4 linked regions of the Struthio camelus genome follow. The protein of the gene in region 3 purifies or fractionates together with the protein of the main gene of each other region. This does not show direct contact. Links are inferred from orthologs where the notes say so. Each region holds a gene or a part of one and is shown on either strand. Other genes may lie near its edges.

The links.
Region 1: the proteins of TACC3 (region 3) and CKAP5 purify together in Homo sapiens (co-immunoprecipitation; 5 studies listed by BioGRID and IntAct, with this or other methods). This does not show direct contact. The link is inferred for Struthio camelus from reciprocal best matches to the Homo sapiens genes TACC3 and CKAP5.
Region 2: the proteins of TACC3 (region 3) and ENAH purify together in Homo sapiens (co-immunoprecipitation; 3 studies listed by BioGRID and IntAct, with this or other methods). This does not show direct contact. The link is inferred for Struthio camelus from reciprocal best matches to the Homo sapiens genes TACC3 and ENAH.
Region 4: the proteins of TACC3 (region 3) and vasodilator-stimulated phosphoprotein-like purify together in Homo sapiens (co-immunoprecipitation; 3 studies listed by BioGRID and IntAct, with this or other methods). This does not show direct contact. The link is inferred for Struthio camelus from reciprocal best matches to the Homo sapiens genes TACC3 and VASP.

Annotation. Positions count from the first base shown.
Region 1 is NC_090946.1:39,656,972-39,664,206, reverse strand, and holds the start of CKAP5 (cytoskeleton-associated protein 5), read right to left. Parts: upstream 3,014-7,235; 5' UTR 2,899-3,013; intron 1-2,898. UniProt on the Homo sapiens protein: Binds to the plus end of microtubules and regulates microtubule dynamics and microtubule organization. Acts as a processive microtubule polymerase. Promotes cytoplasmic microtubule nucleation and elongation. Plays a major role in organizing spindle poles.
Region 2 is NC_090944.1:125,990,691-125,997,606, forward strand, and holds the start of ENAH (protein enabled homolog), read left to right. Parts: upstream 1-3,905; 5' UTR 3,906-4,160; coding exon 4,161-4,165; intron 4,166-6,916. UniProt on the Homo sapiens protein: Ena/VASP proteins are actin-associated proteins involved in a range of processes dependent on cytoskeleton remodeling and cell polarity such as axon guidance and lamellipodial and filopodial dynamics in migrating cells.
Region 3 is NC_090945.1:78,788,211-78,795,615, forward strand, and holds the start of TACC3 (transforming acidic coiled-coil-containing protein 3), read right to left. Parts: upstream 3,009-7,405; 5' UTR 2,836-3,008; intron 1-2,835. Other genes in the region: TMEM129 (E3 ubiquitin-protein ligase TM129), read left to right, coding at 5,096-5,300, 5,769-6,243. UniProt on the Homo sapiens protein: Plays a role in the microtubule-dependent coupling of the nucleus and the centrosome. Involved in the processes that regulate centrosome-mediated interkinetic nuclear migration (INM) of neural progenitors.
Region 4 is NC_090957.1:1,487,197-1,494,501, reverse strand, and holds the start of vasodilator-stimulated phosphoprotein-like, read right to left. Parts: upstream 2,996-7,305; 5' UTR 2,940-2,995; coding exon of another isoform or gene 2,911-2,939; 5' UTR 2,886-2,910; coding exon 2,573-2,885; intron 2,340-2,572; coding exon 2,276-2,339; intron 1,658-2,275; coding exon 1,617-1,657; intron 1,505-1,616; coding exon 1,281-1,504; intron 802-1,280; coding exon 689-801; intron 606-688; coding exon 545-605; intron 246-544; coding exon 200-245; intron 18-199; coding exon 1-17. Other genes in the region: homer protein homolog 3-like, read right to left, coding at 2,911-2,939, 2,996-3,569, 4,724-4,901. UniProt on the Homo sapiens protein: Ena/VASP proteins are actin-associated proteins involved in a range of processes dependent on cytoskeleton remodeling and cell polarity such as axon guidance, lamellipodial and filopodial dynamics, platelet activation and cell migration.

The sequences.
Region 1 (7,235 bases), on a different chromosome or scaffold from region 3:
AATAATCTTCAAAGTTCTTCTTCTGCTGTCTCAACTCCCACCCCAGGGAGGCATGAAACGCGCACACCAGCTTCTGCTTGACTTCACAGCAATGAAGCTGTCATAGAGACAACCCCAACTCCAAACAATGTGCAATTGCTCAGTTCAAGAGGCTCTTTAAATAAGATGCCATAGCAGCATTGTTTGGGACAAGGCAATGTTTAATTTAAACACAAGCATACAAGACCTTCCCACGTTACACTTTAAAACACAGGTCCTATAAGATGTGCCATCGGAAGAGTCTACAACAGGGTAGCAGCAACAGTAGAGTGATAGCTATAATAACCATAGACTATGCTGTCTTGAAACCAGCCATTCTGTTAAGGATGAAAGTGAACTTAATTCCACCCTACTCTGGGATAAAAATGCAATATAAATGGCTTATGAATTCTAATTTGTTTGTAAACTATTTTGAAGAGAAATATAGCAAATTTAAAATAGAAACAGGCATCTACATGGAACAACAGAACAGAGAAGAGACTTGGGGGGGGGGGGGGGGGGACGACAGGGACCAGATGTTCCGTGACCATGATTCTGAAAGCCTAAATTGCAAAGTTTGCAAGTGTTTACATCTTTCAAGGCTCTTTCAGGTCATACATCCTACACAACAAACTCTTCCAAATTAGATACTTATGACTGGGAGACAATTATCTGTACTCTCACAAAACAGTCAGACCAGTTCTCTAATTGCATGTTCAAGACATTCACAAGTGTTCTATAAAAGGGGGTGACCAGAGATTTGCAGATGACAGGCTAAGCTATTCAGGATAGTAAGAAGAGAAAAAAAGGATTGACTGCAAAAAATTGCAACATGCAATATCAAGTGAATTTCAGCTGTCATTTTATCATCCAGTACACATGCATATACAGCGATGCACAAGGCAAAAAAAGAATCTTAACATTACATTGGAAGTCAGATGTTCTGAGCAGATTACTATTTAATGGGAACAAAACCTTACTATGCTAATAGATGTCTATATGAGACTATCAATTCAACAGTGGCACAGACCAGACTTTTAGAAACACAGGCCCAGATTACATAACTGGCCCATATCAGCAAAAGAACAAGAGTCAGCATAGAAATAAGTCCCATTAGATACAAGCCATGCACATATGACAATAAGGAATAACATGCCATTACCATACATCTGATTTTTTTTTTTAATTTAAAAGAGCAAATAAGAAGTCTTGCATCAGTACAGGAAGGATTTAAAGCAATCTGACTAACTCCAATTTCTCATTATTCTAAAATCCAAGTTTTACCTATTTGCACACAGGTATTGCATAAACATGTAGTTTTTCCACAGCAGGCCCTCTAGTAATGTTCCCAACTTTATGTTCTTGAGAATTACCTTCCATAAATGCTTCTACCACAAGTTGCTTTAATCCTATTGCAACTCCTGAGGGGCGGGGCAAAGGTGCAAGTTTTAAGCAAGGGAAGTCACCAAAATAGTAAGGTTTAAAGAAAGACCATGCCTGGGGCAAGAAGCAGTTAAGCCAAATTTTATTTTTTGCACCATCAACTGATCTGACATTGAACATTAAAGAATCAATTCTATAAGAACAACTTGCACCTAATCATTCATCTTTCTACCTTGACACTACCACAAAGTTTTAATAGTAGCTTTCTATAAATAGCTTTTTCTATAACATTTCAATATTTGAGATTGCATCGTAAGTTCCAATCCAACAGAAATGTTCGTTGAAAGCCCGTAGCAATACTTTCTCCATCACACCAGTAATAAACAGAGAAAGTCTACAGCTAGTAAGCTAACATCCAGACCACTATTCATTCCTTTCTCACCTGCAGAAGGCAACTTTAACAGTACTGCAATTTAGTGGAGCAAGCCATAAGATAACTATACAGGCATCCTCAGTCAAAGCTATAGGTTCTGAGAGGATTCAATGCTACGTACAAAATAAGAACAGTAAAAAAAGGGAAGAACACAATATAATTAAGTAGTTGACACACACCCTGAACAAAAACATTTGGGCATGTAACTGACAGAGATCCAAATTCAGGAGGAGAATCCCCTGCACACCAGCCTGAAAGCTACTGCCTTAAAAAGGATCACAAGACTCTGACTCAGAATCAAATGAAACAGGAGAAAAGAAAAATCCTTCACTACAGAAGATTCAACAGGAAGCGCATTCTGAAGAGGGACCCTGGAGATCCGAGACAAACACCTGAACCCAACATCAGAGATACAGAAATTCAGATGAGTTCACTCTCTTCTTTTAAGACTGGAATCACTACAGGGAATATTTTCCCCTAGGTCGTTTCAGGGGGGAAACCAACCCCGCAAGCAGCCCCCAGGCGCCACTCGTGCTCAGGGAACACAAGCCAGGCCGGCATTTCCCCGGCCGCCCACTAGGAACGGGCCGAGCTCGGCTCCCTGGGGCCCGCGTTGCCGGCCTCCTCCCGACCAAGGGTCCCGACAGCCCCACAGGCGCTCCCAGCTCGCCACTACAGCGTCTGCAGCACCGAGGGGGCGGCCCCGGCCGCAGCACCCCGCAGGCCCCAACCCCCACTCCCCGCGCGGCCCAGGCGGGCGGCGCCCCTCAGCCTCCGCAGCGCGGCCTGCTACAGGCCCGCGGCCTAGCGCCGCCAACGGCCGCCCGCCCGCCCGCCGCCAACGGCCGCCTGCCGCCGCAGGAGGAGCCGGCGATGCCCGCGAGCGCGGCCCGCTCCGGCGGAGGGATGTCAGCGCCGCCCGCGGGCGCCGCCCCCGCGCCGATCCCCACGGGGGCGGCTCAGGCCCGGCGGAGCAAGGGGAGCCACGCCGCCCGGCCCCAGGGAGCTGCGGAAGGCGTCCTGGACCCACCGCAGCAGGTGGGGAAGGAGGGAAGGGGCCTCACCTGTGCCCCAGCGGGTCGGGCGCGGCGAACGTCCGGCCGCTCCTCGGCGGGGTTTGAAATCACTAACACCGCCCGCACCTCGCAGTGTCCTCAGTGCCCATTGGCTGGCGCCGGCCCCGCCCGCGCCCTCACCCGCGCGCTTTATTGGCCTGTTTGAATCCGGCAGTGGCAACGCGTGCTCCGCGCGCGGTGGGGGGGGGCGGGGGTGCGGCGGCGGCCCGGGCCCGCACGGGGGCTGTCGCCTCCCCCCGCGCAGTCCGGGACGCCAAGCCCCTGAGGGCGGGGGCACCTGGTAACGGCCGGGGAGGACGAAGGGTTGGTAACGGGGCCAGGCGTCGCGTCGCGGCGGGCTCAGCCGAGACGGGGTCGCCGCGGGGCGCGCCCGGCCAGGCGGTGCCGTTGGCGAGAGAGGCGGCCGCGCCGGGCAGCGCGGAGCGCCGGCTTTTCCCCGGCGCGGGAGCAAGGCAGAAAACGAGCGAGGACCTGGAACTTGTTCCTGCCTGCAGCTGCGGCTTCTGGAAATGCCCTGTTATACTGGAAGGGCAAAATCCTTCCCTGTGCCTGTTCTGTGACAAGCAGTAACTCGTCTTAACATAAAAAGTGCAAGTGCCTAGTTTTTTTCTGCTTTGTTCTCTTTCTTCAGTAAAGCTGGCTAAGAAAAAGATCCTTTGGGAAAGGACGCTGAAGTAAATAATCAATTAGAAGAGAAAGCAATGGCTGGTACCATCAACCCAACCGTAAGAAGGGAGTGCACTGAATATTACCATTGCACCATGCTTACAGGGCCTAGATTAGAACGAGGAGTGAGGTGCCAAGAAAAGCTGATTACATTCTTGCTTGGCCTTGGTGAAATCATTTCCGAACTGTGCTTCAACGTAAGAATGGGCAGGAACAAAGCTAAGGTATTTAAAATACTTTTTGGTACTTCGTCATCAGAACAGGATGCAATGGGCCGTAAGATTAGTAGCAGTATTGTAGTGTCAGTTGTTACTGACCATTTTGTTCATTTTTCATCCTTGCACCACTTAAACTCCTGCTCGTCATCAAAAAGAAAAAAAAAAGCAGCAGAATCTTGAACAAAAACCCTTATGGATAGAAAAACAGTTCTTCAGAGCCATCTTTTCCACTAGTCAAAGGCACAAAACAAGCAACGATCCCTACAGTAGATGTTGCTTGAGACCAGTGTGATCCTAAACCTCTTCAAAAAATGATGGCCACGCTCTTCTGCTGTTGCCATGTTAAAGTGGTAATAAAAAGAAAAAAGCAAGGGTGAGGGGAAGAGTGTACGTGCACATGGGCATTTGCAAATGGGAGTGGGTGTAGATGTTTGGCCTCTGATCCTAAGCCTTAGCACCAGAAGCAGTGTGTTAGCAAGCTGATCGTCAGAAGAACCCCAGTCCATTCCTACCTTCTTGCTCCTCTGAAACGAAGGAAAGTTGAGGTTCTGTACAAACAGGTCCAGGAGCTCCTCTTTCAAAGGAGAGTCCAAAAACCATGCACATTCACAACCAAAAGCCAGGCAGAGTGGTTAAGAAAAGCTAAATTTATATTAAATTATCATATCAACCCCTAAAATACTGAACATAGTGGTTAAATAACTCCAGAAAGTCCAATGTCTCCAGTGAGTAACGTTAAAACCATTACACAGGAACGCAGGGAAATCACTGATGTTAGCTCAGGACAGACAGGAGAGAGGTTTGCTTTTTTTACATAGTAAATCAGTGCTCAGGAGATCATCCTCCAGTGGCCTTTCTACATTCTTAACAGCCTAAGCGCAGTGAGGGCCTTCTCTTCCCCAGAATGGGGAAACATGACGTTACCCTCTAGGCAGCATCTCACTGGGGCTGTCTGCATACTTTAGAAAAATGAAACTGATTTCTGCCCACCTCACTTGCGGACGTGAGGCTGTGGGATGTTTCTTTGCTCCTTTTCACCTTAAATTATTTCAGAAAGGAAGCAGAGAGCAGTTACGAATCGTGTTCGGCTGGAGTGTGCAGGGTCCCTTCTAAGAAGCAGCAGAGATTACATCAAGGTGGAGATCACAAGCACCATTAATTGTTGAAAAGACTGACTGGGTTTTCCTTTCCATTCTGCACTTGTGACTCGGAGAGCAATTATTTCTACAGACTGACTGAACCTCAAGTGACAGGTCTGGGTGGTATCTCCCTTCACCCCTGTCCTGCCTCAGGAATTTGGTGCACACTCACATAGCTGTTGGGGGGGAGGAGGGAAGACACAAAAACAGCCTGCTCTCCTAGAAGTCAGAACCTTCTTCCCCATCCACCTATACCCAGCTCTCATGCCCCTGCCCTACACACCTGGCTTCCTCTCGTATTGGTTCTTCTGCCTATGCTCGAGCCCTTCGACGTTGTCCCTGCATCAGGCAGCCTAGACAGGCAAGGTCCACCTCAGTTACCTGCACTCCTTTCTCAGTTCCCCACTGAGTCCACGCCTCAATCCAAATGTGCCCCTGCCCAACAAAAACAGTGCTTCCCAGGCTGGAGTCAATCAAATAAATAATTAAATAAAAAAATCTAATAAAAAAATCCCTCTGAGAGTAGGGAAGAGTCCCACATTAACACAGGGAAATTTCTAAGCCTTAGCTCCAGTTCATTTTCCACAGGAATATACACCAGTCAGCCCAATGGTGCAAGTTATGGACAGTTTCATGCCACCTAGCCATGTCAAAGCGGCAACCTCTTGCTGCAGAGCCACCTCTGGTGTAAAGAGCATTGCGAACCCACTGGCAACTGTCATGTTTTTCCAAGGGTAGTAGGACTGTTAGTATCTGAACAAGGTTACAACAGAATAGGATGGATTTTCATTTTTTTAAACTAGCTGGAAAAGTATTGCGCTTGAAATGCATCCTCCCCACAATTCTATGCCATATCCCTACTGTACGCTTTGCTCTTTTCACGCCATGGGTGGGAATGCACTTGGCCTCTTCCCAGAAGATAGAGAGGTTAACAGTTTGCTGCAAGAGATTCTTCACCGGAAAGTTCTGCTTCTCAATATATGGCATAAGACTTCCTATCTTACCCTAAGAGTATTCACATGACTTGGCGAGATGATATAAATCGCACTATCGAAGAGGAGTCAAGAGAGATTTTCTCTACCTCTTTGTTCTCCGACCAGATATGAGACACCAAGAGAACATGAAACAGTGGCACAGTCCTCAGGAGTATGCAAGCTCCAGATGCTGCCGAGGTGTCTGTAACTGCAAGGGTGGGATTATTCATTCCCTACAGGGTAAAGGCCTTGGAGGCCAGAGAATATCTGAGGTTCCTAGAGCTGATGGGAGAATGACTCTGCAAGGACAGCTATTTACTAGTAATAATAGAACTTAAAGTGCAATTCTATCTGCTAAGCAACTATTTAAAAATGGCCCTTACAGCTCCACGATTAGTCTCCTATTCTAGGTCAAATGGGCTTAGTCTATTAATAAAGCAGTTCCTAACTGTCAGCACTGAAGATTCCCCTGGGGGAGAGTCAACCTAGGAATTCTCTTATTTCCCCTCATCACTGTAATCGAAGGTCCTGAAGGCCAAAACAACTGGAACCTTGTAGAACTGGGACTTGTGGGGATTAAGCAAATTTTCTATCTTTTGTTTTATACATATCAGTTAGGAAAGAGTAAAATCTAGTGCTTGCTGAGATACATTTCCTCCCATTAGCTCAGTAGAGCTACGAACAATACTAATTTATTTTTTTAGCTTGAATACAGTACTCTGACCACAGTACCTACAGAGAACAGTTCTGAAAGGGCCATTTGCTGACTTGTTTTTCCAGAGCAGAAACATGTTTTAACAGAAGGGAGTGAAAAGGAGCAATGTCCACTGCCAGCAACAGACACAGTGCTCCAATCCCAGAATTCATTAAGGTTTTTACTAGCAGGTGGGAAAGTAAGCAGTGATGCTCTCATGAAGCAAATCATGGCAAGTGTGGTTACTCTCTGTAGGCCCTTAAAAGGTGACTTGATACTGTGTCACTGTCCCCTTAAGCCCCAAAGCATATCCCATCTATTCTGTGATATTTCTTAAGTCAGAGACCCCACAACACAAAGCCTCAGAGCGCTGCTAGTGCTGGAATGACTAGGGGAACGTCTGTGACCAAGAGCTAGCAATGAAGTAGCTCTGTCTGCTCTCTTCAGGGGCATCGACTGTGAGCTGAACTGCATGGGATTTGCAGGTTGCCAAAGACAGAATCTGAACCAGACTCAGGCCAGAGGAGTCACTGCAAAAGTTAATGTGGCAGCTTCCAGGAAAAGGGACCATATAAATAAACCACAGACAGTGAAAACAAGCCAAAAAGGTCTCTGGGTTCCAACCCACCCATCC
Region 2 (6,916 bases), on a different chromosome or scaffold from region 3:
CATACTGACAGCCATTTCTTTTCAGCCTGCCCTTTATTTTTGGAAAGCCCTTCACTATCAACAGAAAGAAAGCATCAGCTTTCTCACTGAAACTGCTTTTTGTTGCAATTCTCTCACTCTATTATATTTTAAATTGTGTTTTCTTTCTATGTTACCATTCTACAGAAAAGAACCCAAACAAGTGAAAAAAAAAATCTTTCTACTTATTCAAAAACCAAACTCTAGACACATTAAGTAAAAGTAATAACCTTCAAAAAAAAAAAAACACCACCAAAAAACCCACTTCTCCCCACTCCAGAAACCTCTCTGACTGTGTTTCCTGCATTATGCTATTTACAGAGCATTAAAGAAGGAAAAAGTGATGTGGTATAACTGCTGCTGTCCGGGGACACTGATTATAGTAAGACGTGTGAAGATCTCAGCTACTTTTCCATCTTAAATACAAACAGACTCTCCAAAAAAACTGACGACTGCAAATGGAAGATTGTTTCAGAGAAAATGGGGAAACCTCACTGAGAGAGGATGGATTAGGCTGCCTTTTGAAGCTTTTGGATTCCCTCAGTGTCTCCAGAATATTAGTCATGCATCCTGCTCATGCCCCGCTCTTAAGGGTGATCCATGCTGATGATATGAGATGGACTCAGCTGGGTTTGCTCAGGAACAGAGTGCCAAGCCTCTTGCATCTGGCTGATACTAACCAGAAACACATTTTCTTCTGTTTTATGCCTGGGTGAGCCATTTCTCTAGTATTTAAAGAGCCTTCACTAGTCAGGTTATTTGGAGAGGAGGCACACCATACCACTCAACCTGAATTAGCTTAGCCTTTGGAAACATCTGAGCTCCAACCCTCAGTTGCAGCTGAGCGGCACAAAAGGCAAGAGAGAGGGATGGGAAGTCACTTTGGGGTATTCTGAGCTGCTTGGATCCTGAGCAAGGAGGACACTAATACTGTTCTTTGACACCAATTACAAGAGCCTTTAGACGGCTCTGCATCGTAAGCTGTCGGTGGCCCCAGGTTATTAGTGAGACACCATCAGCTACGAAGCCTTTCTGCCACATTCTGTTTGTCATTGCAAGAAAGGAGAGAGGTGGGAGGTGATATGAAGGGCAGTATCACCAATGCTATGCCACTCGAGGATCCCATCAGCTAGAAAGGTAACGGGAGAATTGCACAGAGTGATTCGGACACATCTAACGATTACAGCTTGAGAAAATGCAGGCCAGTTACAGGAGATTACAGATTTCTCAATGTATAATTCAGTATCGTAAGTATGTACATGGTACAAACTTCTGCTGCGAGACTACTTTAATTCCTTGACAATAACAGTGCTAAATTGACCTGGGGGAAAGAAAGACACACTTAACGTTTATAATTGATTTCTGCCCTATATCATTTTGGCTCCTCGCCTTCTCATGTAATGCTAATACGAGTTATTGCAGATTTAATATTTTGTTATAGATTAATTCAATGGTATTTTTGACTAAGCTAGTGTCCAGAATGACTTTGCACTTGGTGACATCTGTGATGCCAGCATGCAAAATGATTCTTCTGGCATTTTTACAGATTCTCTTGTACCCCACAGTATGTCTTGAGAAATCAAGCTATGACCATGCCTGATTTGGCTAAGAATATCAACTAATATAACACAAGTAATGATAATAGTTTTTTGCAGGAGTAACAGCTTCCGGCTATTTTCATTCCTTCTCAGGCAGACTTGTTGCCCAGGCATACTTTCAGTGGGTTTTACATACTTGTTACAGTCAAACTTCTTTTAGGCTTGACTGACAGGACGGAACGGTCTTATCAGAACAGTCACATTAGCATCCTGATTTTTGGCTAGTACAGAATAGCTGGGGTCTTAGAACAGAATCCTTGTTCAGCTGACTCTCTGTGCCATTCCTTCTACTGATGAGAGCAAGTCCAGTTAGATACAGATCTTAATGTTTATATTTGGCTGCCTTCAAGATATTTTTCACAGTCTGAATGACTTCCCTTTCAAACCTTTTATTTGGAGGATATTCTGGTGATAGTAAGCTCTAACTTACAAAATTTGTGATTCTTTAAGACCTGAAGTCCATTGTCAGTCATTAGAGTCCTGAGCATTCAGTAGAAGCATTTAAGATAAGCATATTTATTAGATGAAGTCTCCTATTTCAGACTGCATTGACGTTGCTGTCAAAGGTACCCACTTACCTGTTAAGATGCTGCTCTTCTAATTATTCATCTGCATTTTGTGATTCACCCCTATAGCAACATTTTCATTTACATCATCTCTATGCCAGTAAAAACATGTTAATTTTCTCACTAAATTGGTATTCGTTGGCTTGTGTTTCAGAGCCTATCCTCTTTTTTGAATTAGTATTTTCAACAACTGGACATTTTTTATTGACTAGCTCGTCTTTCACTGTCTTACTGAAACCGTTAGTTGACAGTGGTTGACCCTGTCTCAGATACCAGGCTGTTCAAAGAAGAGGTTGTATGCAGCGTTGAATAAACGAGATTCAGAGTAAATAACTGAGGTTGTGAAACCTAGATCAGAACTTTATGAAGAAGGTACGTACATATTTATCTCTAAAATCCTATTCAATTTTTGCATATAAAATCTAGAAACTTATAAAGGAGGTATATATACATTTATTTATAAAAACCTATATATTATTAATATCTAAAATCTAGAAAAAATGATAATTTAAAAGGAAAAATTAAAGCAGAGATGTAAAAGGACTGAGATACCATCATGTCAGTGAAGACTGCAGAGATACTTGCTCATCCTTTCCATTAACTGGAGACCAAAGAGAATGGGGGTATTCAGTGTTTGGCAGAAATTAGCTGAACATGAACTGGGTTAAAGTTATGTATAACATGTGTTTCACCCACTGGGAGTACTAAAAGCAAAACATAAATCTGTATTTAGTACGGACGTGGGGTTAGTGAAAGATGTAACAGCAAACGTGCATGAGGCTGAAATAACATTCCCGTATTTCTAAAAACACATCTAGGCCTCGTGCTTCCAAGAGCACAGAAAGGCAATTGGAAGAACTGCAGCACCAGCGAGTAATTTACCTGTAGAGTTCATTTAGTGGGCTGCATTGATTATGTATTTTCCTAGAAATGAAGAATCCAATTCTAGCACTTTGCTCATGTGTTGATTACTTGCAAAGTAAGAACGCGATCCAGAAAGCAGGGAGAGAAACGTTGCGGGGAAAGGACACGGTCTGGTGGCAGAAGCGTTCAAAATCAGTGCGAGCGAGTCTGCACCTTGGGAAAACACTTCAGATTTCGCTCCTGGCACCGCAGGGATGAGCAAACCAGTCATTTAATGCCGAGGCTGAGCTTGCCCTCAGCAAGCCCGAGCAGCCCCCGCCGGCTGCCCGTAACCCTGCCTCGCAGCCTGCACCCGCCTGCTCCCCGGGAACCGCACCGGGAGGGAGGCGCAGGCCTGCCGCCCCCGCCGCTCTCCCTTCGCGAGCCCGGAGGCGGCCCGGCGGCAGCGAGGCCTGCGACCGGCCGGCCCCGGCCCCGGCGACGAGCACAGCGTCCCGCCTCGCCTTCCCCCTCGCACCCGCGCCTGACGCCGGCCGGCCGGGCGGAAGGGCCACGGCGTCGGGGCTCCTGGGCACGGAAACCAGGCCCGGCCGCGCCCCGGTGGGGGGGGGAAGGCGGGGGCACCGCCGAGCCCCTTCCCCGGCGCGGCCTCCGCAGGGGAGGCGGTGCGGCGGGGGGCGTGGCCTCCGCGGCCCGCTCCTCCTCCTCTCCCCCACCCCCCGCCCTCGCGCGCCGCGCCGCGGCGCCCCCCCGCCCGGCCGGTGTCTCGAGCCTGCCTCGCGCTATCCCCGGTCCTGCCCATTCTCTGTCTCTCCTTCCCCCCCCCCCGCCCATTCCCGCGCGTTGGTTCGCTCTTCCCCGCCCCTTCTCCCCCACCTCTGCCTTCCCCTCCCCTCCCCTCGCCGCCGCCCCCCCCCGGCTCCCCGCGGTGGTCTGGCCCGGCCCGGCGGCGGAGGGAGCGAGGAGACGGGCAGGGAGGCGCTGGCGGCCGAGGGTCTCGGTGTCCGTTGACGCGCCGGCCGCTGCGAGGCGGAAAGCGGCGGAGGGGAGCGGAGCGGGCGGCCGAGCGAGCGAGCGAGGAAGCGGGAGCGGCTCCCCGACCCCGGGCAGCACCATGAGGTGAGGGGCCGGCCCCGGGGAAAGGCGAAGGGGGGGGGCGGTTAACGTCTCCATCCCCCCCCCCGCCCCTAACGGTCCCCGGGAGTTGGGGGGGGGGTTCGGCTCGCGGAAGGGGCTGAGCTGAGGGGGAGCCCCGCGGTGGGGGAGGGGCCCATTGTTAGCGGCGGGTGGGGGAGGGGCGGCCCGGCCGTCCCCGTCCCCCGCGGCGGCGGCGGCGAAGTTGATGGCCGAGGAAGGGGGGGGGGAGCGGGGCCCTGCGGCGGGGGGGCCGGCGCGGTGCTCCCGGCGCGTCCCCTGTGGTCACCCCTGCTGCGGCTGGGAGCACGTCGGAGGTGTGCCCCGCCACGGCGCGAGGGGGAAGCGCCTGGCTGCTCTCTCTCTCTTTCTTTCTTTCTTTCTTTCTTTCGTTCTTTCTCTCTCTCCTTTTTTTTTTTTTTCCTTTCCCCTCTTAACCGGCGGGTGTTGCATTGCAGCAGCAGCTGGGCTTTTCCCTGTGTAATCAATAAATAGAAGTCGAGCGCGGGGAGGGGGGGGGCGGAGGGAGGAATCCCCCTTTCGGCAGCCGTGAAAGTGTCGCGTTTGGAGGTTTTCAGATGTAAACACTGAGGTGGACGTTACTCATCCCCTTTTGAGGGGTCTGGGGGAAGGCACACGTAGGTTTCTGCCCTCGTTTGAACGAGAGACTGGAGCTTGATGCGGTCTCATTCATTTGTAGATAATTTTCTGCGCCCGTGGCTCGCCCCCCCCCCCCCAATTTCTTTTTAGTGCCTGTTTTGTTTCCATAATCTTTTTTTCTGGATTGGTGCAAGACTTCGTAAGAGACGTGGCTTGATAGCCTAAATGCTGATATATTTGGGGGCGGGGGGAACGTTATGCTCCGTAGGCCTGTCCTTTAGTTAGGAGGGGAAAGTGAGTTACCGTCCTTCCTCTCAGAGGTACCGTCTTACTTGCGGTTGGATTTGAGTCGTCTTTGTGTTAAGGATTATTGATCAAAAGTTGTAAGGCCCTTCGGGGTATAACGCAGTAAAACTTGTGTGATGAAAATCAACAAATTCTTTTGCTGCAAAAAAGTGTCAAGCCATTAGAACTCTGCATAAAGTCAAGTAAAATTCTAATCACATTTTTGAACTGTATTTTTAAGGGTTTGTGTGCGTGTGCACGCCTTAAATGCGAGCAGTAACTTTGCAGTGGGAAGCATGGGTATTTTCTCCCTGCTGTTTTGTTTAAAATTTAGTCTAATGTTTCTCTCTGTTTTTCTTAGACCGTAGGTATTTATGTACTGTATTATTTTAAGCTTTTGTTCTGTATTACGGCAACTTATTTTCACTTATTCATGTTGCTATGTACAAGTCAGATGCCCTGCGAGAGTAAGAAGTTTCGACTTAAAAAGCTTACAGTTCATGAATTCTTTAAATGATTTTTTTAAAATTTTATTTTGATGATCTTTAACACAATGAATGCTATTAATTTAGCACAAGTTGGTATAAATATTTTGAGAAACTCTTCTTGTATAATTTGGGCTTTTATTCTGGCAAAAAGTACCCTAATTGCGTGACTGAGGCTGAGTGAAGTAAGTTATACCAGCAAAAGTGTCCTTTTGCTAGTGTAACTTTTATGTGTTAGGACTTCTGCCAGCTCAGAGCGCAAGTATTTCTCTTAAGCAGTGTAACAGGAAAGTGTCTAGGTTGGACCTGCCCTTAGGTTGCCTGTTTAGATGTTTGAATAATGACTTTAAACATTCAGTAAATGTAGGCAAATGCTCTTATAATGTGTCTGAAATTTCTGCCTGCTTGTGCAGAATGTCAAGCTGCTAAGAGGGAAATGTAGTGTCAAGTTGAGTAGTTGCTTTGAGTGGTCATTGGGTAATTCAAGGAAATCTGACTTCAAGAACTCTGCTTCCAAGCCTTGTGAAAAAAGCAGCAAATGGTACTAATTAAACTAAACAAGTTAAGAAAATGATGTGGCTTAAGCAGTATTTTCCCTATCTAGGCGCTATTAAATTGACTCAGTTTTGTTTAATTGGCCCAGCTTCAGTGCGAGGGCAAGCTTTCACTGAACACGCTCTCTTCGGACTTGTTTAGACGAGGATTGGTATATCTGAAACATGTTTAAACCAGTCTCTTCACAGTATATTGTGCTTGAGTAATGTCTTTTAATGGGTATTTGCTGGTCGAGGCAAGTCATGATTGGGGGAAGGAGTGAGAAAGTGGATAGAATAAATGATCTGCCAGTGTTTAATATATGGCTTGTCTATTTGCAAGTGGTGTTAAAACTGTTTTCTAGTTAAGTATACAGTTGGCGCTCTGAGTACAAAAAAGGAATAAATACTGTAAGTCATTCTGAAATGAGCTGAAAAAAATAGCCTTCTGTTTCTGTGATGTCCTTTGAAACACACACGTTTGAGACTATTCTTCAGCCATCCTCAGCCTGAAATAATTCCGATGACCTCTTGCGAAGATCTCACCCCTTGTCTGGGACGGTTAGCTGGTCAGTTATCAAACAGCTAACTAGTTTTCCTTTTGTCAGCTAAAACTAAATACTATTGTAAAGAGCATCGAAATATTATAAAATAACCAACAATTCAGTAACACGCAAACATCAGCAGTACAAATTGACCACAGCAATTAACTTTTTTCAGTGGTCTGTTTTGAATTTGAGTGAATGTTATATGATGTTTGGATAGCATGTATTAGGCATTGTAGGTTGCAGATAAAACTGTGAATCTTAGACGTCCCAGTTTAAATGTCTAGC
Region 3 (7,405 bases):
ATAAACAGATTTAAAATCAGTAGTAGCCTCACCAAGCATTGTGGGGTTTTTTCGAACAGAAAGACAAAAGGCAGAAAAACCCAGAGGATGGAAAGCATACAGCAAGAATTAGGCATAGCCACTGCCCACCAAGGATGATTCCTTGATGGGTGCATAGCTACCCGTCAAACCACCAGCAAAGCTGCTTCTTCCATAAGAATGAACCCATTGGAAAAACGCACACAAGGACCTATGAAAGATAATCAGGATTGTCAACTGGAGAAGATGCTGGCTTTCTGGAATAGATCACCATTCCAAAAGACCAAAAGCTTTCTTTGAAATAAAACACCTAACAATTAGTTTTTCCATCCTTCATCCAAGAGCAGTCAAGTAAATCATCTGAAGATGACAAAATCATTCAGAAAGGTAACAAGAACATTCACCCTGAAAGTTTTACATCGTGTTTTCAAATCTACTGTCCCCGTGTGTTTAAATTTGTGAATTTAAGTCTCTGCATACATTCTCCCACTCTTATATTAATCATTACACAGATATTTGCTTTACTATCCACTGAACTCAGCTGCTTTGTCTGCAAGACAGACAACAGTAGAGCAGAGTTTTACACTATCAGCAATGGAATACAAACAATAGCTAAAGAAGCAACAGCAAGAAGCAGGTTATGCCTGTATTTGTTATTTCTCTGAGTCATATTTGAGCCAAAGTTGCTTTAGAGCTAAAAAATTACATTAAGAATTTATAAAACTTTAAGCGCAATCAGCTTCACTGCTTCCCTTTATTCCTCCAAGCTGAAATTGAGACAACTGATCAACACCTGACTAAAGAAAAACTAGATGTTTACCGTAGCTAGTTAGTTTAAAAACAAAGCCTAAGATGAGATAAAATTGAGTACCTTCCAACACAAACTCAAATGAGCATCCCCTGCTCATGGGAGACTTTAGGTTTATTGCATTGAGCTCTTTATGCACCGTTGCTAGGCCAAATTAAATACCTAGTATACTGACATGATGCACATATACCACATTTACCCACAATCTTAGATATTAGAAGCAAACTCCATTTTCTGGGATTCAGCTGTTAAAATATGTAATTATTGACTTAAAATATGTGCAACTAGAAGTTGATCTAGATTTTATTATCACAGTCTCGCTGGCTAGTAGCTGTGGGAAATAAGGTAAAAGGGAAAGGAAGGCTTTAAACAAAACAAAACAAAGAAATCTTAGTTTTTTTAAAGTGATGAGTGTCCAATGCACACAAGCCCATGTTGTAAAAAAAAAAAAAAAAAAAACAGCAAGTTTTCCCACTATGGCCATTTAAAGATCCCCAAATGAAATCACTTCACATCTTAAAAGAACATCAGGGCACAATACCTAAAATACAGTTGGATCCTCAAAGGCCTAAAAAAGGCACTGAACATGCAGGGCAAAGAGATGGAATTTTTGTGCTTAATTATCTTCTGAGATCCTCTCGCAGTTGAGCTGCAGAGCACTGGCCAATAGAGTAATTTAAAAATCAGTAATGTGCATGCCTAGCATTTCAAGTCAAAAATGCACGCGTTATTACAATTTGTAAATACTTAAATGAATGGAGAAACGTGCCCTGAAACTTTCCAGGCAAACTGACAGAGCTGACGGCTGTACTTTCTAGTGCAAACCTATCACTCCAAAGTTAAGCAAACAGTCCGAAATGGCGAGGTGCACCTGACCGCAGAAGTCACCCGACTGAGAAGCGTCGCCCTCAGCAGACAGACAGCTTGAGGGAGGGGAAGGAGCCCCGCTGTTAGCTAGCGGCAAGCTCGGGTGGGCGGCCCCCTCCCCACCCCACCCTCCGTGGCGGGGGGGTGTCTCGGTAGCACCAAACACCGCCCCCGCCCGGCGCTGCCAGGACTATGGAGCTACCCCCAGCCCCATACAGCCCCCAAGCTTATGCGGATGCCCCCCGAGACTCCTCGTCAAGACCCTCCCTCAAGCTCGCGGAGGCGGCCCCCCCCTCCAGACCCATCCCCCCCGACCCCGCGGAGGCGGCGGCCCCCCCCCTCCCCTCACCCCCACGCCGCCCCCCCCGACCCCGCGGAGGCGGCGGCCCCCCCCTCCCCTCACCCCCACGCCGCCCCCCCCCGACCCCGCGGAGGCCCCCCCTCCCCTCAGCCCTACACCGCCCCCTCCCGACCCGCAGAGGCGGCGCCCCCCCCTCCCCTCACCCCTACGCCACCCCTCCCGACCCGCAGAGGCGGCGCCCCCCCCCTCCCCTCACCCCTACGCCACCCCTCCCGACCCCGCGGCGGCGGCCCCCCCTCCCCTCACCCCCACGCCGCCCCTCCCGACCCCGCGGAGGCGGCGGCCCCCCCTCCCCTCAGCCCTACACCGCCCCCTCCCGAAACGTAGAGGCGGCGCCCCCCCCTCCCCTCACCCCTACGCCACCCCTCCCGACCCCGCGGAGGCGGCGGCCCCCCCCTCCCCTCAGCCCTACGCCGCACCCTCCCGACCCCGCGGAGGCGGCGCCCCCCCCTCCCCTCACCCCTACGCCACCCCTCCCGACCCCGCGGAGGCGGCGGCCCCCCCCTCCCCTCAGTCCCACACCGCCCTCCCCGACCCCGCGGAGGCGGCGGCCCCCCCTCCCCTCAGCCTCACGCCACCCCCCCCCTCAGCCCCACTCTGCCCCCTCCCCGACCTCGCGGAGGCCCCCAACAAGACTCCCCTCCCCCACAGCCTCCCGAGGCTCAGGGAGGCGCCTCCGAGACGGCGGGAACCCCCGTAAACCTCCCGCTCCCAAATCAGCGGGGCGGCCCGCAGCTCCCCAAGCCCCCCTCGACCGCCAGGGTGCCCCAGCCCGCAGTACCTGCCGCCGTGCGCTCGGCCAAGGCGCTGCGCGGGCTCCAGGTCCCCACTACCGCAGCCACCGCCGGCCAGCACCGCCTCAGCTGCCGCCACAGGATTTCAAAATTCAACGGCCGCCCCAGCCCGCCAATGAGGAAGCGGCATTCGGAAAGGTTTCGCCAATCGGCAAAGAGCGCTGAAAGGAGGCGGGACCAGCCGCTATTCCCTCGCCAATGAGCCCCCGCGGAAGGGTGTTTTCGCGGAGGGTGATGGTACTGCGTGGGGCATGCCGGGAAATGTAGTTCGGGGGCGCCATCACGGCGGCCCGCCGGGGTGAATAACGGCCGAATTCCTTGTTACTGAACAGCTCGTTGCTATGCAGGAAAGAACTGCGTAAAGCGTTTGCGGTTTTACTGGTAGTCTAGATCAGACTGCTGAGAACTTATGTACGTAAAGCTTCTTTTTAGGACGGAGAGTTGCGTCTGTAAATCCCAAGGTAAGTAATCCAGTCCTAGGGGGGACATTTAGAAAACTAAACTGACAGGGCAGGAGGGATTTGGGCGCTGAAAGGAGCGAAGAAAGAAGGCCGGGGCGAAAAACGCTAAAGGCCCATATGGATTTTTATGCATCCCAGCGCACATCCTGGGCATAGGCCCAGCTGTGGCCCTGCTTCGTGCTGGGAGAAAGCCAGGTGGCACGCGCCCTGATTTCCACACAAAGGAAAACAGGGCAACAGCTCGGGAGGGGAACTCCAGCATCCCCCTCCCTAGATGCCTACTGTGAAGAAATCTGGGGTTTGAGGCTGTGGACCAGACTTTGTACACAGTGGTCAATCTAGGTAGAACTGGAGCGTCCCAAGACTCAGTCCTGCAGTGAGTTTGGCATCAAGAGGAGTCCTGCATAAACTATCGTTGATACCACGAGGACTCTGTAGGGAGAGTGAATCCTGCCTATAGAGATTAATGTGGATCAGGTTAGAAACTGGGAAACTTTTAGAAGATTAAGGTCCATGTTTAAATGGTGGTTCTTTCAGAGATCCATATCGATAAATCACATGAACTATGAACTTCCGCTGCCCTCAGCACTTTGGCACGGCTGTCCCATGTAGCTGTTAAGAGCATTTTGCCTGTTTTCCCCCTCCCAAGAGAAAACCATCTGTCTCCTGTAGCCCCAAATCTACCCACAGCATTGCCGTTTTTCTACATCATCTTGTGAATAAAACCACAGAAGGAAAATTTGCTGCCTCACAATGTTTTATTATGATTTTTATTATTAAATGTCACGATCCATTCCAAAAATTAACACACTCAACATCAATTAAATTAGAGTTGAGTCATTAGGCAGTAACAATGAAATGGTTGTTGAAACCAATAAAGCTGGTAACAACAAAGTGTTTTGTAGTGAAATGCAACACACGCGATCCAAGTTCAATTTTATTGACGCAACAATCACTAAACCACCATGAATTCTGATCTCCATCAACAACACCCTCTGCCAGCCTCAGATTTCACGCTGCAGAGGCGGCATTTCCTAAGTTTCCTGTGACTAGTAGATTATAACGTTGCATGATGTTTCCTCTGCTCTCCTTCCTCAATTACGCAGTTTCCTCTTTTCTCTAAAATAGAAAAATATTAAGTTCATGGTTATTTATTACAGTGTGGAGGAGCAGTTGGTTGTTGTTTTCCAAGCGAAACAGTGATGCTTGCAGTTAATAGTTATTATTTGTATCTCAGTGGTAACCAGAGACTGCGGTCTGGCCTCTCCCTCTCCTGTGTTTGGAAGCTCACAGACATATCTTAAAAAGTTCTCTAATCACTTTAAGACCTCTTAAGATCTTAAGGCTCCTCCCGATCCTCCTCTAAAGAAAATATTACATAAAATACTCCAAGAAACCCAAAGAGAGTTGGAGCCCAACAGCCACATGCCTACTTCAGATGGACGTTACCCAACACCACGGGGCTTTTTAAACCTTAGAACCGCAATGCGCTGCTTTTGCCCGGCGCACCCGGCCGCGCATCTCCCCGTCAGCCGAGCCCCTTGCGCGGCGGCGGCGGCGGCGCATGCGCGACGCGGCCCGTAACGGCCGCGGGCTGGGCGGGAACTACCGCTCCCAGGGAGCCGCGCGGCGACGCATGCGCGGCGCGGCCGGTAACGGCCGTTGGCGGGGCGGGGCTGGCTCCCCCCGGCCGAGCGGGAACTACCGCTCCCAGGGAGCCGCGCGGCGGCGGCGGCGGCGGGCCGAGCCGAGCCGAGCCGAGCCGAGCCGAGCCCGGCGGCGCAGCATGGAGAGCCCGGCCGTGACCTTCACGCTGGCCTACCTGGTGTTCGCCGTCTGCTTCGTCTTCCCGCCCGACGAGGTCCGCTCGGCGGGGCTGACGGTGCAGAGCCTGCTGGCCGCCTGGCTGGGCAGCGAGGACGCGGCCTTCGTGCAGTACCACCTGCGGCGCAGCACCGGCACGCTGCTGGCGCACTCCCTGCTGCCCCTCGGTGAGGCGGGGGGCGCGCCCGGCCCGGCCCGGCGGCAGCCTGCGGCGCGGCGTCGTGTCTCCCTGTCCCCCCCCCCCCACCCCGGGTAGATGTGGTGGTGTGCGTCGTATCAGAAATCTCGGGATTACGGTCTTTCGGTAGAGGAGCCCCACAGCCTCTTTGTAATACACACCTTTGGAACTAGCTGGCCGCGTTGGAGTACGTGTGCTCCCAAAGCGATAACTTTTTATTTAACCAGCTGGTTCAAGTCAGCTTCCTTTAGCGATACAGTTCTGGTAAAAATAAGTGACGTCCGACAGGTAAGAACTTGCACCAAATTGCTTAGGCCAAGAGGCTTAGAATTTGAGTTGCCATCCAAAAATAAAACGGATTTGGAGGTGACCTCACCCGTTAAGATTAACTACAAAATTGAGGGATACGCGTTTACGTGTGTACTTGTTTTCTGAAAGTAAATCTTTTTCCTTGCAGGCTATTACCTTGGAATGTGCTTTGCTGCACCGGAAAAACATCTTTATTTTTTTTACTTGGCTTCGAAAGGATGGAAAACCTTCTTCTTTTTTGCCGTTCTCCTCCCAGCAGTGACCAGCGCCCTGGCATATTACTGGTCACGGAAAGGTTGGAATAATCATCCGTTAGCTCGGACGCTTGCTGTTCATGCTCTCCCGCAGTCGGGCTGGAGGGCAGTAGCTTCTTCCATCAATATGGAATTCAGGAGAATTGACAAATTTGCTACTGGAGCCCCAGGAGCCCGGGTGATTGTTACAGACACATGGGTGATTAAAGTGACCACCTACTGTTTACATGTTGCCCAGCAGCAGGACATTCATTTAACGGTTACAGACTCCAGACAGCATGAACTCTCACCAGACTCAAATATGCCTGTGCAGTTCCTCACCATCCGTGTTGCCAGTATTAATCCCTACGTGAAGGCATTTGATATTCGGTAAAGCAGAACATGCTACACCGTTATGTTATATGTATGTCATTTAATGATGTTAATGGAGTGCTTCTTGGCAGATCTGAAGACTTCTAGGGTTTCATCCCTTTCTTTTTGCTCCATGCCCAGTGCTCAGAGGTTCTTTGTGCGCAGTTCTGTCACTTAGTGCAGTGAAGAAAGGCTGTTTAGCAAGATTCACAGACCTACAATATTGAATCCACAACGGTTAATCAGAGGGACGTCCCTGTTTAGTCCTTTCTTAGGAAGAGAATTTAGTAGAGGTAGGAGGAAGTAACTGCAAAAACTTGGGTGAAAGAGAACAGGAAAGAAATGGAGAATCTTTAGTCTTCCATGTTTTGGAGGAGGAGAAATAATGATTTCTGTAAAACTGACCATTGCTCAGTCATGACTTCTTTTTCCCTCCTCCTGCTCAAAACTCATAATTTAGTCTCTGCTTGAAAGAGTTCTCACTGACTTACTGCAAACCAATTGCTCTTACAGTGAAGCAAGGAAGTAATTTAGGTTCACTTCCGATTTGTGTATCCTAGTAGTTGTAAATCATGGAAAATGTGCTGTGAATTGTTAGTGCTTGTTTTCCAAGGGGCCATGCTGTTTGTTTGTTTTAGCAGTCTGTCTACCTTGACAAGAATACAAGTTCTGCAGAAACTTGCAACAAACACTCTTGATTAGATTGGTGCTAATGTCTTCATTGTTGCTGTATCAGTAAAGGGCGTACACAAAGACATGTTCGTTCTCCTGAAGCTATTAATTTGAAAAAGTATTTGAGCGTGTTTGCTGTAGAGTCGTATGTCATGCAGTAGGCTGTTGGTATTACTAAGATTTTAAGTTTTAAATAATAGACAAAATTTGACGCAGAATAGCAAATACAGTCAGGTCTGCTTTAAGCTCATAACAATTTGAGTCTCTCTATACCAACAGTAGTATCTGCTCAGCTTTTTCTGCACTTAAAAAAGAATGGTCACAATTTGAAGGAGATCAGTCTTACGCAGTTTTACAGGGTTTGAGGGAAAAGCAACAGTTCATGTAAGAAGTAACTTTTCTTAACAGATGACAGCAGCACGTATTTAGCAGTAATTACAAGTAAGCAGATTACCAAGCTTTTAGGTGAACGGGTCCTGGCAAGCATGAGGAAGCTGCTGAGATGACT
Region 4 (7,305 bases), on a different chromosome or scaffold from region 3:
CGGCCTCCGGATGGGCTCTGCAGTGAGAGAGCAGGGGGTGAGGGGGAGGCAGAGCCCCCCCTTCAGGGGCGCAGCCACCCACCACCCTCCCCCCCCCCAAAAAAAACCCGTTCCTCTCTCGGGACTACAGCTCCCAGCAGGCTCTGCGCCGCGCCGCGGCGGCAGGGCATGCTGGGAGTCGTAGTTCCTCCGCACTCACCCGCGGACTGCCCCGCGGTCCTAGTGCTCGCTGGCTCCGCGTCGTCCTGTGGGGAGGGGCAAAAAAAGGGGTCACGGCGGGGTATTTACCGGGGGGGGGGGGGCGGGTAGCCAGGTTGGAGGGGGGGGACAAGGGGATCCGCACCAGCTGGGGACAATGGGATTAACTGGGAGAGAGAGAGAGAGAGGTGCCATCCCCCCCCCCCCCCCAAAATACCAGATGGGGGCAACAGGGAGCCCCCAGGAGAGGAGCAATACTCAGCGGGGGGGGGGGGGGGGGCAATGGGGCAGCGCAGGGATGGGGGGGCACCCCCAAAGCAGTATTTCGGCAAGGGGGGGCACTCACGCTGCCGGCGTCCTCGTCCCTCTTTGGCGCTGGCTTGTCCCCCTGCAGCGTGGCCTTTCTCCTGGGGGGGGGGGGGAGGTCAGCGCAGTGTCCCCCCCCCCAAACCTGCGTCACCGCCCCCCCCACAATGCGGCACCCCCTCACCGTCGGGCCAGCATGGCGCTCATCTCCTCCATGAGGCCCCCCCCGCCTCCCCCGCGGGTGCCATCGCCCTTGGGTGCTGCTGCCGCCACCGCCGGGCCGGGCGCCTCATCCTGCTGGGGGGAAACGGGGTGAGCGCGACCCCCCCCCCGGATTTGTTCCCCCTCCCGGGGCTGCAATCATCCCTGGGAATTGCCCCCAAAATGGGTATTACCCCCCTGCAGGGCTGCCCCTCCTCCCCCCCATAGGAACTGCCCCCAAACCAGGTATTACCCCCCAGGGGCTGCCCCCCCCATGGGAACTGTCCCCAAAACAGGTATTACCCTCCTGGGGCTGCCCCCCCCGTGGGAACTGCCCCCAAAATGGGTATTACCCCCCTGCAGGGCTGCCCCCCCCGTGGGAACTGCCCCCAAAATGGGTATTATCCCCCTGCAGGGCTGCCCCCCCCCATGGGAACTACCCCCAAAACAGGTATTACCCCCCAGGGGCTGCCCCCCCCCGTGGGAACTGCCCCCAAAACGGTATTACCCCCCACCGCAGAGCTCCCCCCCCATTTTGCCCCCCCAGGGGTAATTCCCCCCCCCCCCCCCGGTACCTTGCCGACTTTCCTGAGTTTGGCCCCCGCGATGGCGGCGGCGAAGCCGGAGCCCCCCCCGGACGCCCCCCCGGGGGCACCCGCGGGCCCGGGCAGGGGTGGTGCCGGCGGGACCCCGGCGGCAGCTGGGGGGGGTCCGGGAGGCGGGGGGGGCCCCGGGGGTCCCGGGGGTGGTGGGGGGCCGGGGGGCGGCGGAGGCCCCCCCGCAGGCAGGGCCGGGGCACCTGTGGGGGGAGAGTGGCTCATGGGGGGGCACCCACGCTGGCCCCCCTCTCCCCGTGGGGGGTTTTTTGGGTGGGGGGGTGGGCTCATGTCACCCCCCTCCCCGGCACCCACCTGCGCCGGCCACGCGCCGCTCCAGCTCCTCCGGCGCCGGCCTGCGGGGAGAGGGGTCAGCACCCGTGCCCCCCCCCGGGGTGCCCTGACCCCCAAGTCAGCACCCATGGATGTCCCTGGGGCACCCTGACTCCCAAGTCGGCACCCGCGGCCCCCCCAGGGCACCCTGACCCCCAACTCAGCACCCACAGACCCCCCTGGAGTACCCTGACCCCGAAGTCAGCACCCGCGCCCCCCCTGGGGTGCCCTGACCCCCAAGTCAGCACCCGTGGCCCCCCCGGGGATGCCCTGACCCCCAACTCAGCACCCACGGACCCCTCCGGGGGTGCCCTGACCCCCAACTCAGCACCTGTGGCCCCCCCCGGGGCACCCTGACCCCCAAGTCAGCACCCATGCACCCCCCTGGGGCACCCTGACCCCCAGGCCAGCACCTGTGGTCCCCCAGGGGCACCCTGACCCCCAACTCAGCACCCACAGATCCCCCCGGGGCACCCTGACCCCCAGGCCAGCACCCGCGCCCCTCCAGGGCATGTTGACCCCCAAGTCAGCACCCACAGACCCCCCCACAGCCACTGTGTCCCCCAAGTCAGCCCCCCCCACATGCAGGGGGTCTCGGGGGGGGGAATGAGCACCCCAGGGTGCCCTTGGGGGGCTCCTACCTCCGCTGCTGCTCCGGCTCCTCCAGCGACGGGCCGTTGGGGACGGGCCAGGGCTGAGCGGGGGCTGGCGGGGGGGGACGAGAGCTCAGAGCAGCACCCGGGGACGTCCCCAGGCTGGGGGGACGTCACAGTGGGCCACCCCCGGGTGTCACCTCATCCGTGCTCACCCACCTCCAGGGTGGCAGCGAGGAGCCTGGTGTCCTCGCACAACCCAAAGCTGAGACCCCCCCCACCCCCCAACCTGAGGGATGCCACCCCACGGTGTCACCTCCCTGGTGTCCCCACGTCCCCGCTCACCGGCCTCCAGCACCTCCAGGGCCTGGAGCATGGCGGTGGCGAAGAGGGTGGCGTCCTCGCGCGACCCGAAGCTCAGTCCCCAGCCCTGGGGGACGTCACCCCGTGCCACCACCTCCCTGGTGTCCCCACATCCCCGCTCACCGGCCTCCAGCACCTCCAGGGCCTGGAGCATGGCGGTGGCGAAGAGGGTGGCGTCCTCGCGCGACCCGAAGCTCAGTCCCCAGCCCTGGGGGACGTCACCCCGTGCCACCACCTCCCTGGTGTCCCCACGTCCCCGCTCACCGGCCTCCAGCACCTCCAGGGCCTGGAGCATGGCGGTGGCGAAGAGGGTGGCGTCCTCACGCGACCCGAAGCTCAGTCCCCAGCCCTGGGGGACGTCACCCCGTGCCACCACCTCCCTGGTGTCCCCACGTCCCCGCTCACCAGCCTCCAGCACCTCCAGGGCCTGGAGGGTGGCGTCCTCGCGCGACCCAAAGCTCAGTGCCCAACCCTGGGGGACGTCACCCCGTGCCACCACCTCCCTGGTGTCCCCACGTCCCCGCTCACCGGCCTCCAGCACCTCCAGGGCCTGGAGCATGGCGGTGGCGAAGAGGGTGGCGTCCTTGCGTGACCCGAAGCTCAGTGCCCAGCCCTGGGGGACGTCACCCCGTGCCACCACCTCCCTGGTGTCCCCACGTCCCCGCTCACCGGCCTCCAGCACCTCCAGGGCCTGGAGCATGGCGGTGGCGAAGAGGGTGGCGTCCTTGCGCGACCCGAAGCTCAGTCCCCAACCCTGGGGGACGTCACCCCGTGCCACCACCTCCCTGGTGTCCCCACGTCCCCGCTCACCGGCCTCCAGCACCTCCAGGGCCTGGAGCATGGCGGTGGCGAAGAGGGTGGCGTCCTCGCGCGACCCGAAGCTCAGTCCCCAGACCTGGCGGGCATCCCGCCACTGGTGGAAGCTCGGCGTCGCCTGGTTGTACTTGAGACCCTTGGCGATGGCGCAGTTGATGACCACCTTCGGGGGGGACACCGAGGTCACTCGATACCCAGGTCCCCCCCCCCCCAAGCTCTGACCCCCAAGCTGGGGACCCCACAGACAGTGTCCCCAGCCCCCCAGTCCCAACAGTCCTCCCAGTGTCCCCAAGCCCTAGGGGTGTCCAGAGCGTCCCCACCCTCTCAGTCCCAGCAGTGTCCCCGGTGTCCCCAGCCAACCCTGGCCCTGGTGTTCCCCCCAGTGTCCCCAGCCCTGGCAGTGTCCCTGGTGTCCCCACCCTCCCAGTCCCCGTGGTGTCCCCAGCCACCCCTTGCGGTCCCTCCAGTGTCCCCAGCCCCAGTGGTCCCCCCAGCATCCCCAGGCCCTGGGGGTGTCCCCAAACCCCCCGATGGTCCCTGTGGTGTCCCCAGCCCCAGCGGTCCCCCCGGTCCCCAGCCCCCTAGCAGTCCCCACCTCCCCAGCGGTCCCCATGGCATCCCCAGCCCCCCAGCGGTCCCCCCGGCAGTCCCCCCGCTCCCCAGCCCCCCGGCGGTCCCCCAGTGTCCCCAGCCTCCTAGCAGTCCCCCAGTGTTCCCAGCCCCCCCCCAGTGTCCCCAGCCCCCCAGCAGTCCCCCAGTGTTCCCAGCCCCCCTGGTGTCCCCAGGCCCCCGGCAGTCCCCCAGTGTTCCCAGCCCCCCCAGTGTCCCAGGGTTCCCAGCCCCCCCGATGTCCCCAGCCCCCCAACAGTCCCCCAGTGTTCCCAGCCCCCCTGGTGTCCCCAGGCCCCCGGCAGTCCCCCAGTGTTCCCAGCCCCCCCAGTGTCCCAGGGTTCCCAGCCCCCCACGATGTCCCCAGCCCCCAACAGTCCCCCAGTGTTCCCAGCCCCCCCGATGTCCCCAGCCCCCCAGCAGTCCCCCAGTGTTCCCAGCCCCCCCCGATGTTCCCAGCCCCCTAACAGTCCCCCAGGGTTCCCAGCCTCCCCGGTGTCCCCAGCCCCCCTGATGTCCCCAGCCCCCCGGCGGTCCCCCAGTGTCCCCAGCCCCCCCCGATGTCCCCAGCCCCCCAGCAGTCCCCCCAGTGTTCCCAGCCCCCTGGTGTCCCCAGGCCCCCGGCAGTCCCCCCAGTGTCCCCAGCCCCCCCCCGATGTCCCCAGCCCCCCGGCGGTCCCCCCGGCCCCCCCCCCCCGGCGGTGGCACCTGCTGGTCGGGCTGCAGCTTGCGGCCGACGACGCGGAAGGCGGGGGGGGCGCCGCCGGCGCTGCGGTACAGCTGCACCCGGCTGGGGGCCTGGGGGCCGCCGCCCGCCGCCACCCACTTCTTGTTGGCGTCGTCGTAGAGCATCACCGTGGCCCGGGCGCTGCACACCACCGTCTCGCTGCGGGCGGCCGCCGGCCTCAGCGCCCCGGCACCCGCCCGGGGGGCGCCGGGTGCTCCCCCAGGCCGGGCGGGGGGCACCCATGGGGCGTGGGGCACCCCTAAAGCTGGGCAGGGGGCACCCACGGGGCGTGGGGTGTCCCCAAGGCTGGGCAGGGGGCACCCACGGGGTGTGGGGCACCCCTAAAGCTGGGCAGGGGGCACCCACGGGGCATGGGGTGTCCCCAAGGCTGGGCAAGGGGCACCCATGGGGCGTGGGGCACCCCCCAGGCCAGGCAGAGGGCACCTATGGGGCGTGAGGCACCTCTAAAGCTGGGCAGGGGGCACCCAGGGGGCGTGGGGTGTCCCCAAGGCTGGGCAGGGGGCACCCACGGGGCGTGGGGCACCCCTAAAGCTGGGCAGGGGGCACCCAGGGGGCGTGGGGTGTCCCCAAGGCTGGGCAGGGGGCACCCACGGGGCGTGGGGCACCCCTAAAGCTGGGCAGGGGGCACCCACGGGGCGTGGGGTGTCCCCAAGGCTGGGCAAGGGGCACCCATGGGGCGTGGGGCACCCCCCAGGCCGGGCAGAGGGCACCCATGGGGCGTGAGGCACCTCTAAAGCTGGGCAGGGGGCACCCACGGGGCATGGGGCATCCTCAAGGCTGGGCAAGGGGCACCCATGGGGCATGGGGTGTCCCCAAGGCTGGGCAAGGGGCACCCATGGGGTGCGGGGTGTCCCCCAGGCCGGGCAGGGGACACCCACAGGGCACAGGGCATCCTCAAGGCTGGGCAAGGGGCACCCACGGGGTGTGGGGCACCCCTAAAGCTGGGCAGGGGGCACCCACGGGGCGTGGGGTGTCCCCAAGGCTGGGCAGGGGGCACCCACGGGGTGTGGGGCACCCCTAAAGCTGGGCAGGGGGCACCCACGGGGCATGGGGTGTCCCCAAGGCTGGGCAAGGGGGCACCCACAGGGCGTGGGGCACCCCCCAGGCCAGGCAGAGGGCACCTATGGGGCGTGAGGCACCTCTAAAGCTGGGCAGGGGGCACCCACGGGGCGTGGGGCATCCTCAAGGCTGGGCAAGGGGCACCCCCCAGGCCAGGCAGGGGGCACCCATGGGGTGCGGGGTGTCCCCCAGGATGGGCAGGGGGCACCCACGGGGCACGGGGCATCCTCAAGGCTGGGCAAGGGGCACCCATGGGGCATCCCCAAGGCTGGGCAAGGGGCACCGATGAGGTGTGGGGTGTCCCCCAGGCCGGGCAGGGGGCACCCATGGGGCACGGGGCATCCTCAAGGCTGGGCAAGGGGCACCCACGGGGTGTGGGGCACCCCTAAAGCTGGGCAGGGGGCACCCACGGGGCATGGGGTGTCCCCAAGGCTGGGTAGGGGGCACCCACGGGGGGCCGAGTGTCCCCCCAGGCTGGGCAGGGTGCACCCACAAGGCTGGGCAGGGGGCACCCACGGGGCATGGGGCACCCCCCAGGCCAGGCAGGGGGCACCCACGGGGTGTGGGGCACCCCTAAAGCTGGGCAGGGGGCACCCACGAGGCATGGGGTGTCCCCAGGGCCGGCCAAGGGGTACCCATGGGGTGTGGGGCATCCTCAAGGCCAGGCATGGGGCAACTAGTGGGTGTGGGGCACCCCCAGGGCTGGGCAGGGGGCACCTACAGGGTGTGGAGCACCCCTAAAGCTGGGCAAGGGGCACCCCCAAGGCCAGGCATGGGGCACCCCTGGGTGTGGAGCATCCCCGGGACACGGGGCGACCCCAAGGCTGGCCATGGGGCACCCCTGGGACATGGGGCAACCCCCAAGGCTGACCATTGGGCACCCCTGGGTGTGGGGCACCCCAAAGTAGGCCATGGGGCACCCCAGGGACATGAGGACCCCCAAGGCTGGCCATGGGGCACCCCTGGGTGTGGGGCACCCCCAAAGCAGGCCATGCAGCACCCCTGGGACATGGGGACCCCCAAGGCTGGCCATGGGGCACCCCTGGGTGTGGAGCACCCCTGGGACACGGGGCGACCCCAAGGCTGGCCATGGGGCACCCCTGGGTGTGGGGCACCCCTGGGACATGGGGCGACCCCAAGGCTGGCCATGGGGCACCCCTGGGTGCTTCCCCCCCCCGCCAGGACAGGCACCCAAACCACAAGCACCCCCCATACTCCCCCCCACCCCACCCCTCCCCACTCCTTCCCCTTATCAGCAGGGGACCCAGGCGTCCGGGCCCTGCCCCCTTCCCCCCCTCCCCCATTTCCTCCGGGTGCGGAGAGGGCCCAGGCGTCCGAGCTGTGCCCCTCCCCCTTCCCGAGGGCAGGAGCTGGGACATCCGGGTTGGCGCAGGATGGGGTGGGGGGGGGGAACAAGTCACCGAAGTCTGTGACACCCCAGGGTGGGGGGGCCGCCAGGACGCCTGGGCCCCCCCCTCAAGGC